Linked DNA regions of Saccharomyces cerevisiae S288C. The protein of the gene in region 2 purifies or fractionates together with the protein of the main gene of each other region. This does not show direct contact. Each region holds a gene or a part of one and is shown on either strand. Other genes may lie near its edges.

Region 1 (6,564 bases), on a different chromosome or scaffold from region 2:
CAACCTTACGATACGATGAGGCAATCACCTATAATAAAGATATTAAAGAAAAAGAAAAATATATCGAGGCATACCACAAAGAAGTCAATCAACTGTTGAAGATGAAAACTTGGGACACTGACGAATATTATGACAGAAAAGAAATAGACCCTAAAAGAGTAATAAACTCAATGTTTATCTTCAACAAGAAACGTGACGGTACTCATAAAGCTAGATTTGTTGCAAGAGGTGATATTCAGCATCCTGACACTTACGACTCAGGCATGCAATCCAATACCGTACATCACTATGCATTAATGACATCCCTGTCACTTGCATTAGACAATAACTACTATATTACACAATTAGACATATCTTCGGCATATTTGTATGCAGACATCAAAGAAGAATTATACATAAGACCTCCACCACATTTAGGAATGAATGATAAGTTGATACGTTTGAAGAAATCACTTTATGGATTGAAACAAAGTGGAGCGAACTGGTACGAAACTATCAAATCATACCTGATACAACAATGTGGTATGGAAGAAGTTCGTGGATGGTCATGCGTATTTAAAAACAGTCAAGTGACAATTTGTTTATTCGTAGATGATATGGTATTGTTTAGCAAAAATCTAAATTCAAACAAAAGAATTATAGAGAAGCTTAAGATGCAATACGACACCAAGATTATAAATCTAGGCGAAAGTGATGAGGAAATTCAATATGACATACTTGGCTTAGAAATCAAATATCAAAGAGGTAAATACATGAAATTAGGTATGGAAAACTCATTAACTGAGAAAATACCCAAATTAAACGTACCTTTGAATCCAAAAGGAAGAAAACTTAGCGCTCCAGGTCAACCAGGTCTTTATATAGACCAGGATGAACTAGAAATAGATGAAGATGAATACAAAGAGAAGGTACATGAAATGCAAAAGTTGATTGGTCTAGCTTCATATGTTGGATATAAATTTAGATTTGACTTACTATACTACATCAACACACTTGCTCAACATATACTATTCCCCTCTAGGCAAGTTTTAGACATGACATATGAGTTAATACAATTCATGTGGGACACTAGAGATAAACAATTAATATGGCACAAAAACAAACCTACCAAGCCAGATAATAAACTAGTCGCAATAAGCGATGCTTCATATGGTAACCAACCATATTACAAGTCACAAATTGGTAACATTTTCCTACTCAACGGAAAAGTGATTGGAGGAAAGTCGACAAAGGCTTCGTTAACATGCACTTCAACTACAGAAGCAGAAATACACGCAGTCAGTGAAGCTATACCGCTATTGAATAACCTCAGTCACCTTGTGCAAGAACTTAACAAGAAACCAATTATTAAAGGCTTACTTACTGATAGTAGATCAACGATCAGTATAATTAAGTCTACAAATGAAGAGAAATTTAGAAACAGATTTTTTGGCACAAAGGCAATGAGACTTAGAGATGAAGTATCAGGTAATAATTTATACGTATACTACATCGAGACCAAGAAGAACATTGCTGATGTGATGACAAAACCTCTTCCGATAAAAACATTTAAACTATTAACTAACAAATGGATTCATTAGATCTATTACATTATGGGTGGTATGTTGGAATAGAAATCAACTATCATCTACTAACTAGTATTTACATTACTAGTATATTATCATATACGGTGTTAGAAGATGACGCAAATGATGAGAAATAGTCATCTAAATTAGTGGAAGCTGAAACGCAAGGATTGATAATGTAATAGGATCAATGAATATAAACATATAAAATGATGATAATAATATTTATAGAATTGTGTAGAATTGCAGATTCCCTTTTATGGATTCCTAAATCCTTGAGGAGAACTTCTAGTATATTCTGTATACCTAATATTATAGCCTTTATCAACAATGGAATCCCAACAATTATCTCAACATTCACATATTTCTCAAAGCATATATGTAGTATATATACATATACATATATATATTTATATAGGTTTGGGAACCTATGTTTTTTATTGTACCAAACGCATCCCTCTTCAATAATCTTCGAAAAAAAAGTGCACAACAAGCGGGAAAATCTGTGTAAAGCTGTATAAGTGATCTGTACAAAAACTACGAAGAAAAGAAATAATACCAGGGAGGAACTACCAATTGTAACCATTAACCTTAGTTATGAGATCATCTCTTCTAACCCTTCCAAAAGTATGTTTCCGGCAAACGCTATAAATTTTTGTTAACTTGTAAGGATTCGAAGCAAAGCACAATTTTACTAACCTGTTCTCAAACATATTTTTTTTTCATAGTCTTTTTTGGGGTTTATGCCGCTATACCTTGCAGTTGAGATTGTCTTAGGTATTTCCATTCTAAACAAATGCAGTGGTGCTTATGGTATTTTAGCATTGTTCACGGGTCATCCGTTGGATTTTATGCAATGGATAGCATATCTTTGGTCGGTATTTACATTAATCGTATTCTCACAAGGGCTGTATTTGATTCATAAGCCAAACTTGCTGGTATTTTCGCAAATCTGCGTACTTTATACAATCGATACCATTTCCACTTGTTTTTTTACTCTATGGTTTACCACGCAATGGTTCACCTTGGAAGACACTGCTAATATTGATGGAAATAATGCACTACAAAGTAACCCAATATCGACAGGTAAGCTGACAGAACGTGGTATTGATATAAGTAAACAAAGTGCAACTGAAAGCTACGAATATACCATGACTATTTTAATTACGTTGGTGTCATTGATATTCAGGTTCTACTTTAACTTCATTTTGGCATCTTTTGTTCAAGAATTGTTACACCACCCCAAATATTTAGTTGATAGGGATGACGTAGAACAAAACTTGAAAAACAAGCCTATTTGGAAAAGACTGTGGGCTAAGAGCCAAAAAGGTTGTTATAAGCTATGTAAGAATTTGTTAGAGTAAATAGTAAAATAAAGCCCTAGCGTTATAGCGTTTTACACTGATGAAGAAATGTTTCTATTCTGACATCATAAAATCATTCTCACTGATGCTATTGTCACTTTTCATCACGTGTGTATTTAAGTAGCTCTTACGTAATTTTGAAAAAAAAGGAAAAAGGAAACTATATAGCACGCAATTCCCTATTTGGTTGCAATTCAATTCCGTGAAACCCTTTTCTTTTCTAAAGTGATAATAAAGTAACTTTGCAATATAATCAGGTCGCAAATATACCCACAGATAATAATCTACCATGCCTGCTACGTTAAAGAATTCTTCTGCTACATTAAAACTAAATACTGGTGCCTCCATTCCAGTGTTGGGTTTCGGCACTTGGCGTTCCGTTGACAATAACGGTTACCATTCTGTAATTGCAGCTTTGAAAGCTGGATACAGACACATTGATGCTGCGGCTATCTATTTGAATGAAGAAGAAGTTGGCAGGGCTATTAAAGATTCCGGAGTCCCTCGTGAGGAAATTTTTATTACTACTAAGCTTTGGGGTACGGAACAACGTGATCCGGAAGCTGCTCTAAACAAGTCTTTGAAAAGACTAGGCTTGGATTATGTTGACCTATATCTGATGCATTGGCCAGTGCCTTTGAAAACCGACAGAGTTACTGATGGTAACGTTCTGTGCATTCCAACATTAGAAGATGGCACTGTTGACATCGATACTAAGGAATGGAATTTTATCAAGACGTGGGAGTTGATGCAAGAGTTGCCAAAGACGGGCAAAACTAAAGCCGTTGGTGTCTCTAATTTTTCTATTAACAACATTAAAGAATTATTAGAATCTCCAAATAACAAGGTGGTACCAGCTACTAATCAAATTGAAATTCATCCATTGCTACCACAAGACGAATTGATTGCCTTTTGTAAGGAAAAGGGTATTGTTGTTGAAGCCTACTCACCATTTGGGAGTGCTAATGCTCCTTTACTAAAAGAGCAAGCAATTATTGATATGGCTAAAAAGCACGGCGTTGAGCCAGCACAGCTTATTATCAGTTGGAGTATTCAAAGAGGCTACGTTGTTCTGGCCAAATCGGTTAATCCTGAAAGAATTGTATCCAATTTTAAGATTTTCACTCTGCCTGAGGATGATTTCAAGACTATTAGTAACCTATCCAAAGTGCATGGTACAAAGAGAGTCGTTGATATGAAGTGGGGATCCTTCCCAATTTTCCAATGAGCGCGCTACATTACAGTTAATGCCTCCAGCAACCTGTAGTGCTTCTTTAAACCGATCCGATACAGCTGAAACAAACATTGATTTTACTAATTTTCATATAATATATACACATATATCGAATGATAATGCAAAATATAATTTAATGAAATTGGAAATACTCGGAAAATTTATCATTATCCTTTTCTTCTTTTGAACGTAAACTTCGGACCGTCGTCATCGTCGTCGTCGCCATCACCGTTATTAGAAGCCCCAAAAGAGCCACGTGATCTACTAGTTGCGCTTCTACTGTGTCTACTTTGCTTGGAACATTCTTCTGACAAGTTTGGCCGTAAGTTCATTTCCTTCACCACAAAAAGATTACGATTATTTTCTCTGTGATTTAGTCTATCGCTTTTATCATCAATATCACCCAGATCATCTTCATCAGTAATAAAAATTTTGTTTTTTAGTGGTTGAACGCTGGCTGCAGTACCTGAACAACGAGAAAAAGAAAACGAATCTTCTTCTCCTTCATTTGAACTATCCTCATTCGTGAATCTGTTTAGAGCTTGAGATCTTTTCTGGATAGTGTTTGAGTTTATATTATCGGACATAAATGTATTCGATCCAAATCTTTCCATCTCCGTCAAAGCAAACATATCTTCGTTTTCTTCTGTGCCCCATTTTGTAGTTGTATCCTTTTTGGAGTATTTTTTTAACGGAACATAATTTCTAGTGATTAAAAAGGCTGCATTTCGTATAAAATCTGAGCTTTGAGTGTTATTTTTACCCTCTTCTTTGTGCGCCTTTGATTTTGGACGTACCTTGACAAAAGTCTTGAAATTCTTGCGTTTATGCCATTCTGGCTCCATTAGGCTATTTTCCCATTTTTCAGTTGTTCTGCTTGTTTTGTTTCCCTCACTATCAAATGATTTCCTCAGTAAATTGTTACTAGGTTCTACAATAGCCAAATTTTTTAGCTGATTAATAGCTTCCTCGCTCAACTCCTCATCCTTCAATTCAACAATGGTTGACTTAACTCTTTTGACCTCTCTATTTTTAGTTTCTTGAATAGCTTCAACAAATGCGTGCGGCGTACCAGATTTCTCTTTAATAGATAACTCTTTTACAGGTGACTTACAATTTTCTTGTAATGGAGATGAAATTTCTCGTGAATAATTAGAAAGTTTACGGATGTTTTTAGAGGGTTGCTCTATATTCTGGTGATGATTCACCCTAAAATTCTTAGTAACTTCAGCATCATCCATCGAATTCACAGCAGCTGTTTCATAGTCAGCGGAGTTCGAAGATATGGTTTGAGAGCCAATCCCTGCTACCTCCGGCAATGACGGCTGTGGTAACTTATGTGACTGTAGCGACTTATCCAACGAATCCTCACTCGTGTTCACAGTACCTAAGTTGGGGCTACTGACAATTATAGCACCAGGGCTACTGTGACCACTTTTCTTTCCAATATCTTCAGTCGGCTTTAGTGCGTTTTGAAGAAATGGGGCGTGCTTTTCATCTGCCTCTGCAATGTTGGGACTTGAAATGACAGTCTTTGATTCTGCGCCACAATTAAGTCTCTTAGCGTCAGTTAAAGACCTATTTTCTGATAGAGTCTTAGTACTCAAACCTCCAGCAAAAAAATCAAGACTATCGAGTGGTAGTACTCTACGTCTATTTAATTTTCGCTTCTTCGAGACTACTGGACTAGCTTCAACTTCAGGTGCACGAGATGTTTTCAAAATAGTAGACATTCCTTCAGAAATTTGATCAAATTTACCGTTATCTAGAGTTCTTGAAGATGCACCCTTCATATTAATCACTGCGCTTAAGGTGCCATCTATTATTGATGTTAACATCGTTTTGATAGTACATAGAATTTTCCCATTTTCTTTCTTATCTGTAGTTGTCAAAATCAGGTATTCTGTTGATGCTTCCAAGCTGTCAACATATTTATATAAACTATCAATGTTGTCAAATGCAAATAAATTTATATTGAACGTCCGCAGGAGAGATGATAGACGTGGTTCACTTTTGATAGTAGTTAACACTCTGATATTATTCAGCCTCATAAACTTCGAAAGCAAAATATTTGGATCAAAATCAAAAACATTGTACTCCGGATTACTAATCATATCGTTCCACATTTCATCAAATTTTAAATTAGTTTTAGATGTGGGAAGAAGAGTATTACACAATTCCATCAGAAACCGTGATTTTTTCATGGGTATAGTACTAACAAGGGCATACAATTCCCGTATGCTGTTGTCCTCGCTCTTTGGGTAATCGCTAATCATCAGATTAGCGGGAATATCATTAATAGAAATCTCAGTGGAGATACCATATTCAGAAAGCATCGTCCTGAATTGTGTCAAATGAGGAGGAATGTTCCAGACTTCATTTATCCATTCGAACTCTATAC
Region 2 (8,398 bases):
TAAGCCCACATACAAACCCACAACACGAGACAGCTATAAAGCTAATCCAGTACGGAATATCCGTATACTGCCCTCACACTGCCGTAGATGCCGCTCGTGGCGGTGTAAATGACTGGTTGGTTAGGGGTTTGAACAACGGAGAGAACGTCGCAAAGTCTTATGCCTTGGAAACTGTAAGTGGCGAAACTGACGACTTGATTGGCTACGGTAGATTCGTAGAATTCAATAAAGACATCTCTTTGGAGCAAATTGTCAAAAATGTCAAGCGTGTTTTACGGGTTCCCTATGTACAAGTAGCATCTCTTGCTGCTCCATCCGCATGGAATCAACTCAAAATCAAAAAAGTCGCTGTCTGTGCCGGGAGCGGTTCTGGCGTGTTTAAGCAACTAAAAGAGGACGTAGACCTTTACTATACGGGAGAAATGTCACATCATGAAGTACTGAAGTGGAAAGAAATGGGCAAGACCGTTATTGTTTGCAACCACTCAAATACTGAGCGTGGATTCCTTCAAGACGTTATGAAGGGCTTGTTGCAAGATGAGGGCCACGAAGTAGTCGTAAGCAAAATGGATTGCGATCCTTTGACTGTTGCATAGCTGCTAGTAATTATATGGCTATATAGGATATCACAAATACCATACGTACTACAGTTTTATCATCCGGCTGTTCGTGTAAAATGATGTTGTTGTATCGGATAGAGAAATACGGATAGAAAAGGTAAAAGTCTTCAAATAACAAGGACAATAACATACTCTGTATTGAAGACGAAGTACTCAGCAAAGCGTAACGTAATTACACTTAGCACACAAATATACTCACACAAATATTACAAGGCATGTCGACGGATACCATGTATTTCAACAGCTCCAGGCTGTTGCCATCGGCTGGCAGGAACAAGACAAATAATCTAATCAAACAAAAAACTAGAAATAATCGTGCGAGGGGAAATGCTGCTAAGAACGCCAATAATAACAACTATATCACAGATATACCACCTCCTCAAACTCTTCCTAACGGTCAGAAACCTAACTTCGGCCATTCTTCCAACAAGAAACCATCATTTAATCAAAAGAAGCACTCTCCACCTTCTTCCCCTTCCTCTACAACTACTTTAGGTAAAAAAAACAGACAGAATAATAAAGAAACGCCACGACAGAACAACAAAGATGATACTCGTTTACTGAGTCAGAACCTAAAGAATCTGCTTCTGAACCAGAAACAATCCCCGCATGGCTCTCAAGGGATAATACCAATGGGTTGTAATGGCAGTGCCAAAAAACTCAGTCACTCTTATGCAGGCTCCACTTTCGCCACTAATGGTCCAAGGGAGGCTAAAAACTTGCCCAAACCAAGTTTTTTATAATCACCCTTTAGAGAGACATTTTTGATTTTTTTTTTTTTTTTTTTTTTTTTTTTTTTAGAATAATGCATATTTTTATTTGATATATACCTATGTACCAATTATACGAATGCTTATGTCTGTTTTGGATCTGGTCATCCAAAGCAATTTCTCAGATGACAATTTTTTTTTCCTATTTTCTGTTACAGTTCATCATTATGCTGAAGAAAAATGAAACATGGCGGTGAATAATAAATAACACATTCGTACAACAAATCTTGTGGTAGAAAACCTAAAAAAAACCAATACGATAGAAAATGGATGAAGTCTTACCATTGTTTCGCGATTCTCATATTCCACAGATTAAAGATTATCAATTGGAGTTACAGAACGATTTGACTAAAACCAATGAGGCCTTCCAAAAGAATTTGCTAAAGAACTATAACAAGATCTTAAGCTTGACCGATTCTGTTAATGACTTGTCGCTCAATTTGAAAAATGTTGATCAAGATTTTAAATCCCTGTGTTTCAATGATGAAAAATTTCAGTTGAATAAGTTAACTCCACTACCATACCAAACCACTACCCATATATCACCACCTCGTGACGAAGAAAAAGTCAGCATACCATCGCAAAACATTTTAGTAATTTCAAATTGGACCATCTCCATCAACAACTTCTGTAATCGTATAGTTACTTCCACTACTCCGTCGCGGATATTCGACGAGCTACTGTTGAATTTCCACGAATTATCTTTGATACCAGTTCCTTCCAAATTTGAAGCGCTTGTCAAGGACAAATGTTGTCGACTACAGAAGTTCTTGGTGGACTCTATGAAGACATTAAACTTAACTTTACTACAGTGGGTAAAACTATACAATTTACTAAACACGGAGTTTTCCTCGAAGTGGGACGATGATTTACTTTCTATATTCAATGAATCCCTATTCGAGACACTATTTAACGATAACGTTCAAGCGTTACTGATATCAAGTGCCAACAGCAAAGATCATCAATATCACTCCAATCAGCAATATAAGGACGCGATTGTTGTCGATTTTGTGAATTCGTCCACCTTTAGAGACCATCTCATTCGGAGAACCGTGAAAGAAATAAACACACATTTGGATACACTCTCTACTTTGAGAGCCAAGCTTAAGGAGCCTGAAACTCTTCATAAATTAGATATCTTCCATGATAATGATACGAACCTCAATGATGGCACTGTATCTCCACTTGATGATGATGCATTGAAACAATATATTGATACAGCGGTATTCTATTCAAAAGGTTTAACCAATGATACCACGTTGCAAATTTATCAAACGGTGCAGCCTACGATTGAAATCCTACAAAACTTAGAATTGTATAAATGCCCTCAAGAGACACTGACAGATTTGAGAAATAAATTGATTACTCAATTGCAAGAGTTTAAGACTCAGATCTCATCCCGCTTACCTTCACCACTGGAAAACTCAACGAGTGTTGTGGATGATTTTATAACTTCGTACAACAATCACAATCTCTTGCAATTAGTCATCGATCAAATTACTCAATTAAGGCAACAGTAATATAATAGCACGAGGGAGGGTACCCGCCTCGCAAACTTATTGATAATGATAATGGTATGGGCGTTGATATATACATATATATATATATATATATATATATATATATATACATAATATATATATGTTTATCTGTGTGTATCTATGTGGACTTCAATAAGTGATCGCCTTCTTGATATCATATTACTCCCCCATTTCACCTGAATTAATTTCGGAATACATGAGTAAGCTCTTGGACCGAATCATTACTAGGCTTCATGACTGTTGAATATACTGCATCCGATTTGGCAACCTATCAGAATGAGGTGAACGAACAAATTGCCAAGAATAAAGCACATCTTGAATCATTGACTCATCCAGGTTCGAAAGTGACATTTCCGATCGATCAAGATATTTCTGCTACACCTCAAAACCCGAACTTAAAAGTTTTCTTTTTTGATATCGACAACTGTCTCTATAAATCATCCACGAGAATTCACGATCTTATGCAACAATCTATACTGAGGTTCTTTCAAACACACTTGAAACTATCACCTGAAGATGCTCACGTTTTGAATAACTCTTACTACAAAGAGTATGGACTTGCCATAAGGGGACTTGTAATGTTCCACAAAGTGAACGCACTGGAATATAACCGGCTTGTGGATGATTCCTTACCACTACAAGATATCTTGAAACCTGATATACCATTAAGGAATATGCTGTTGAGATTGAGACAATCGGGAAAGATTGATAAATTGTGGCTTTTCACCAACGCTTATAAAAACCACGCAATACGTTGCCTGAGATTGTTGGGTATAGCGGATTTATTTGATGGATTGACATATTGTGACTACTCTAGGACAGATACGCTGGTCTGCAAACCACATGTTAAAGCATTTGAAAAAGCCATGAAGGAAAGCGGGTTGGCAAGATACGAGAATGCTTATTTTATAGATGACAGTGGGAAAAACATCGAGACAGGTATCAAATTGGGCATGAAAACATGTATTCATTTAGTTGAGAATGAAGTAAATGAAATTTTGGGGCAAACACCAGAAGGCGCTATTGTCATTAGTGATATATTGGAGTTACCACACGTTGTGTCCGACCTGTTCTAAGGTATATCAATTTTAAGTATAATTGTATATAAATCTACTTGCATTAGATGCCTCTATAAAATAAAATAAACCAAAAAAAAAAAATAAATTGCACCCCCCGTAAGTTCTCATTTACGTAAAGGTTGGGCTTGTTGCTTCTTTTGTTTGGCAACAGCATAAATAATACCTGATAGGAAACCAATAAAAATGGAGAGAATAGATAAGAAGTTTCTTGGAGCATCAAAGAAAATCAAACCAGACAAGGCAATTGGCAGCTTGTTCAAAGCCCCTACCATCGAATATGTAGTAGACGAAGTAACACGAACACACCAACCGGAACAGTAAGAAATACCGACGGATGCAACACCACTGATGATCATAGCAGTTAGCGAATCGTTAGAAAAGTTATTGGTCAAATTAACTGAAGACCAATCTTCCACACAGAAAGAAAACAGCAATAGAATAGGTAGAGCCAAAACATTGTTGTAAAACATAGTGTCGAAATCCTTGAAGTTAGTTAACTTAATTCTCTTTCTCATTATAAGAACGAATAATGCAGAAGTGATACAGTTGGTGAACATCCAGAAATAACCTGGGTTAAAGGAGGCAACAGCACCGGCTGCTCCTTCAGCCAATGAAGCAGCCTTGGCAGCCACAGCTTGCTGGTCACCCCAAGTTGCAACGACAGAAGAAAGGACCATCAACAAAAATGATGACAATTCCATGGAGGTGACAGAGCCACCAAAAAAGAGAACCTCACCATAAGCAATCAAGATAATAGTCAAATTCTTGAAAATGGTGTAAATTGGAACAGCCAAGTATTGTAAAGCCTTCGAAGAGGTGTAGATCATCAAGACCAGTAAAAAGGAAATAGGGAACCAGTTCTTGGCGTCTGTTTTGTTTAATGAACGGAACTTCGCATAGCCCAGTATACGTAGGATAATCAAGGTTATAGTACAAACCAAAGATTGCACGAAAAGCATGACAAAGTTCATGTTGAAATCCTTCAAATTGACGACGAACTTGTTAGTCACCGTCATTAAAATAGAGGAACCACAGTAGGATAAAATAGAGATCGGACCGGAATTGGCAACTGAAGCCCAAGGGTTATGGCCTGCATGACCTGTTTTCAATTCAGACATTCGGGCGAAAGATACTGTGTGGTTAGTGTGTTTGTTTTCTTAGGCTCTTTTGGTAATTAAGAGGATGTCAACAATTAATCGGCAACAAGAAATAGGCTTGGCAGCGTTATATATATTCTGTTTTTCTGTTCATTGTTTGTTCGGATCGCGAAATTTCAATTTTTTTCTTTCTTTTTTTTTTTTTCGGCCAAAACTATTATCCAAGGCTGGGTAAGAGGATTCTGAAAAACCCGTTTAGCTTTTCGTATATTGCGATTCATTACGCGTTTAGGCGACGTGTCTTCTTTCGTCAACTGTGATATTTTTCGTGTTATGGGCGGCTAATTCTTTATAAAAAGGGAAATTTAATCATTATGGCAAACTCAAATGGTGTTCCTACATCTATATACCACCATGCCACTTTGTACCACCAGTCATATATTTTCTTCTACTCATAAGGGAGCCGCATATATATATGGCGCACATTGCCATGGTCCATTACAAGCTTTTTTCTCGTAGCACTTTAGAATGTCTATTGAGTTGCAATATTCAGGCAAAAATGCGTTCTATCTTCAGAATGTAGCTGTTGAAATTGTTGTTTGACTTTTTTTGGACTAGTAGCCGTCTTATCGAACCAAATAGAAGCATATGTTACCTCATTATTCTCTCAATATGGTATTGGAGCGGGTGTGGGTGTGTTCCTTTTGTTCTTAAACGATAGGTACGCATTAAACACCGCTTATGCAGATGGTACATCATATACTGCTTATACCCTTTCCTACTTCAGATGAATATGCAAAACATGTACCGCAATGATGCGAGAGTAACTTTAACAAGAGCTCTTTCGCGTGTGTAGCGATAATATTCAGGGGCGACAAGTGTAGTAATGAAGATATAGTTCTCACCGGTACCTAGATGTCACTACTCGGACACCAGATTACTGTAGCAAGCAAGGTCAATGTCGAGACTAAGCATGATCATAAGTATTGGCGCCCGACATTGCATTTTTTTCCTTGAGATCATATCACAGTGCATGCCATCACAAATAGTTACTTTGATTATTTCAGTGCCATCGCATGACTTCAGTTTTATTACACCTTTAATGATGTAAAAGCGCCGTCAAGATACTAATATAGACGCACGAGTTTCGTTCGCGCGTCTTGGTGAGATTGAAAAGTTATTTTGCCTTTCTTGTCGAGATGATGGTATTTCCCTTTTTTATTTAACATTCATTAATTCCTACCTGTAGTTATCAACCTTTACAGCAACGCAAGTGAAGTGGCTTACTATATAAGCGTAACTCCAATGTGCTTGGTTAGTTTTGGAAAATTTCAAGGCGTTGTTGCAGAATTGTACCTTTAAACATGTCTACAACAACTATGTGGATGTAGCATCTCTATCATGACGCAAACGCAAACATCTCTCTCTCTCTCTCTCTCTAAGTCGCATGTTAAGGCCGATAGTACTGGTTTAACAGGGTTTGCCAAGGCCTCAATCGTTAAGTTAGCTTCTCCACTTTCCCCAGCATCAATCTTATGGTATGATCAACAATCTACGAGGAATTGCAGAAATGATACCTGTATCACAAAGGAATTTGCGTATCATAGCGTCAACTGGAACCATGGATGGAGCTGAGAATTTATTCCTCATAAACGAATTCAAGTTTCTTTCGCTCTGCCAACACAAAAATTTCAATTTCTGTCCTACTTATGTCCTATGAGAGCCATAATTTACACCTCACGTACATAGTTGCGGTAATATGATAAGTACACTTTTTCTGTGCTTCATTATCGTAGCGATAGGTATACCACTCATCGTAAGTGTGGACGTAGCGATGGAGGTTTCTGTGCCATTACCACCACAACCATTCTACTCTTGTAGTGATGCCGCCAACGTGGAATTATGTGGTATCGTTGTTATCTGCCGTTGACTACCCTCGGTCCAACCAACGTAAAGGCCAATCTCACTTTCTAAGAAGGTCTTATCAGGGTTGATACGGACAAACTCTTCATAGCCTACGTCGAAATCAAATTCTGCTGAAGCTGTGATTGTAATCAAACCTAAAATGGTAATTACTGCTCGAAAAAAAAGTAGAGAAATTCATGGTTGACGCTCAAGTTCAGGGATCTGAGAAAATCTTTTATTCGTACGTCCCATGTGCTCGGTCATACTATGGCTGCTATATATACAACATGGTTGTGGAGAATTTACGCAGGATGTGCCTACTACCTTGGGAGCTACTAATGTCGTATATTTCAAGTGTCTGCATGAAGACTGCATTATAGTCCCTTCAGAGTTTTCTTTGATCGTTTACAATGATCATGGTGAAAGGATTATTTCTGTTATAGCTGGCACACGACAGTCACCTATATGGTAGTTACTAACTAAATATTGCTCAAAGTCAATTCCCAACAATGGGAAGCATGCTGCGATTTTAACAAAGAAGCAGCAGTACCCAGATACGGAACTGGATTAGACAGAGGAGGAAAATCATAAGGTACACAAAATTTTTTGGGCTTTAATTTCTCAAAATGTTTGCCGGTAAACCTGTACATTCTTTTTTCACCATCAGTCTATCTTGTAATTAAGTCTTTCATGTAGTATTGAATCTGCAATATTTTTTAACCAACTATCAATTTTCGTGTCAACAAATTACTCTTTACCATGTAGACAGCTACTGATTCAGGCGCACATGAAGACCTATTCGCTTATTTAACAAATATTAGCGTATTTTTTGAGACTATTAACGTGTGTAGACCTCCAGAGGCTGCACTCTAAAAGCCCCCAGGGATATGTCTATACTGTCCTTTGAGAGTTATACGTATGAAAAATAGTAAGGAGACGTCTCTAAGCGTATTTAGAATATACGCTAAGAGTGACTAATGTAGGTAAGTGCGCAGTAATGGCTGGTAAACTTTTTTTTATACTAGTGCCATGTTGTACTGAACTTCAATTTTACAACTAAACTATGAAGCAAGTATCTTATCTTGGGGTTGTATATTTCAATTAAGTGGTTTCGTGGTCTAGTCGGTTATGGCATCTGCTTAACACGCAGAACGTCCCCAGTTCGATCCTGGGCGAAATCATTATTTTTTTGAATTTTTATATTAGTTTATTTACAGGGATAGATAATGAATGATAAAAAATGAATAGAACGTACTCTGCGCAAGCGCATATATATATATACTATTGTTGCTTCCAATTTATACAAGATCCCTTAATTGTTCCTCTAGCTTTTTATCTTGTTTCCAATTATAAAATGCAGTCGCTGCACCGCCAAATAAAACAAGG

What was found.
Region 1: the proteins of VRG4 (region 2) and KEI1 purify together in Saccharomyces cerevisiae (affinity purification with mass spectrometry, with the first as the bait; one large-scale study listed by BioGRID). This does not show direct contact.

The regions. Positions count from the first base shown.
Region 1 is NC_001136.10:1,210,686-1,217,249, forward strand, and holds KEI1 (Kei1p), read left to right. Parts: upstream 1-2,162; coding exon 2,163-2,192; intron 2,193-2,293; coding exon 2,294-2,929; downstream 2,930-6,564. Other genes in the region: MOR1 (Mor1p), read right to left, coding at 1,753-2,151; trifunctional aldehyde reductase/carbonyl reductase (NADPH)/glucose 1-dehydrogenase (NADP(+)) YPR1, read left to right, coding at 3,219-4,157; XRS2 (Xrs2p), read right to left, coding at 4,331-6,564. UniProt on the Saccharomyces cerevisiae protein: Regulatory component of the inositol phosphorylceramide (ICP) synthase which catalyzes the addition of a phosphorylinositol group onto ceramide to form inositol phosphorylceramide, an essential step in sphingolipid biosynthesis.
Region 2 is NC_001139.9:73,624-82,021, reverse strand, and holds VRG4 (GDP-mannose transporter), read right to left. Parts: upstream 5,129-8,398; coding exon 4,115-5,128; downstream 1-4,114. Other genes in the region: NIF3 (uncharacterized protein), read left to right, coding at 1-596; EDC1 (Edc1p), read left to right, coding at 836-1,363; Golgi transport complex subunit COG1, read left to right, coding at 1,657-2,910; SDT1 (nucleotidase), read left to right, coding at 3,165-4,007; MTC3 (Mtc3p), read right to left, coding at 8,311-8,398. UniProt on the Saccharomyces cerevisiae protein: Involved in the import of GDP-mannose from the cytoplasm into the Golgi lumen. Defective copy causes severe glycosylation defect and abnormal retention of soluble endoplasmic reticulum proteins. Involved in vanadate sensitivity.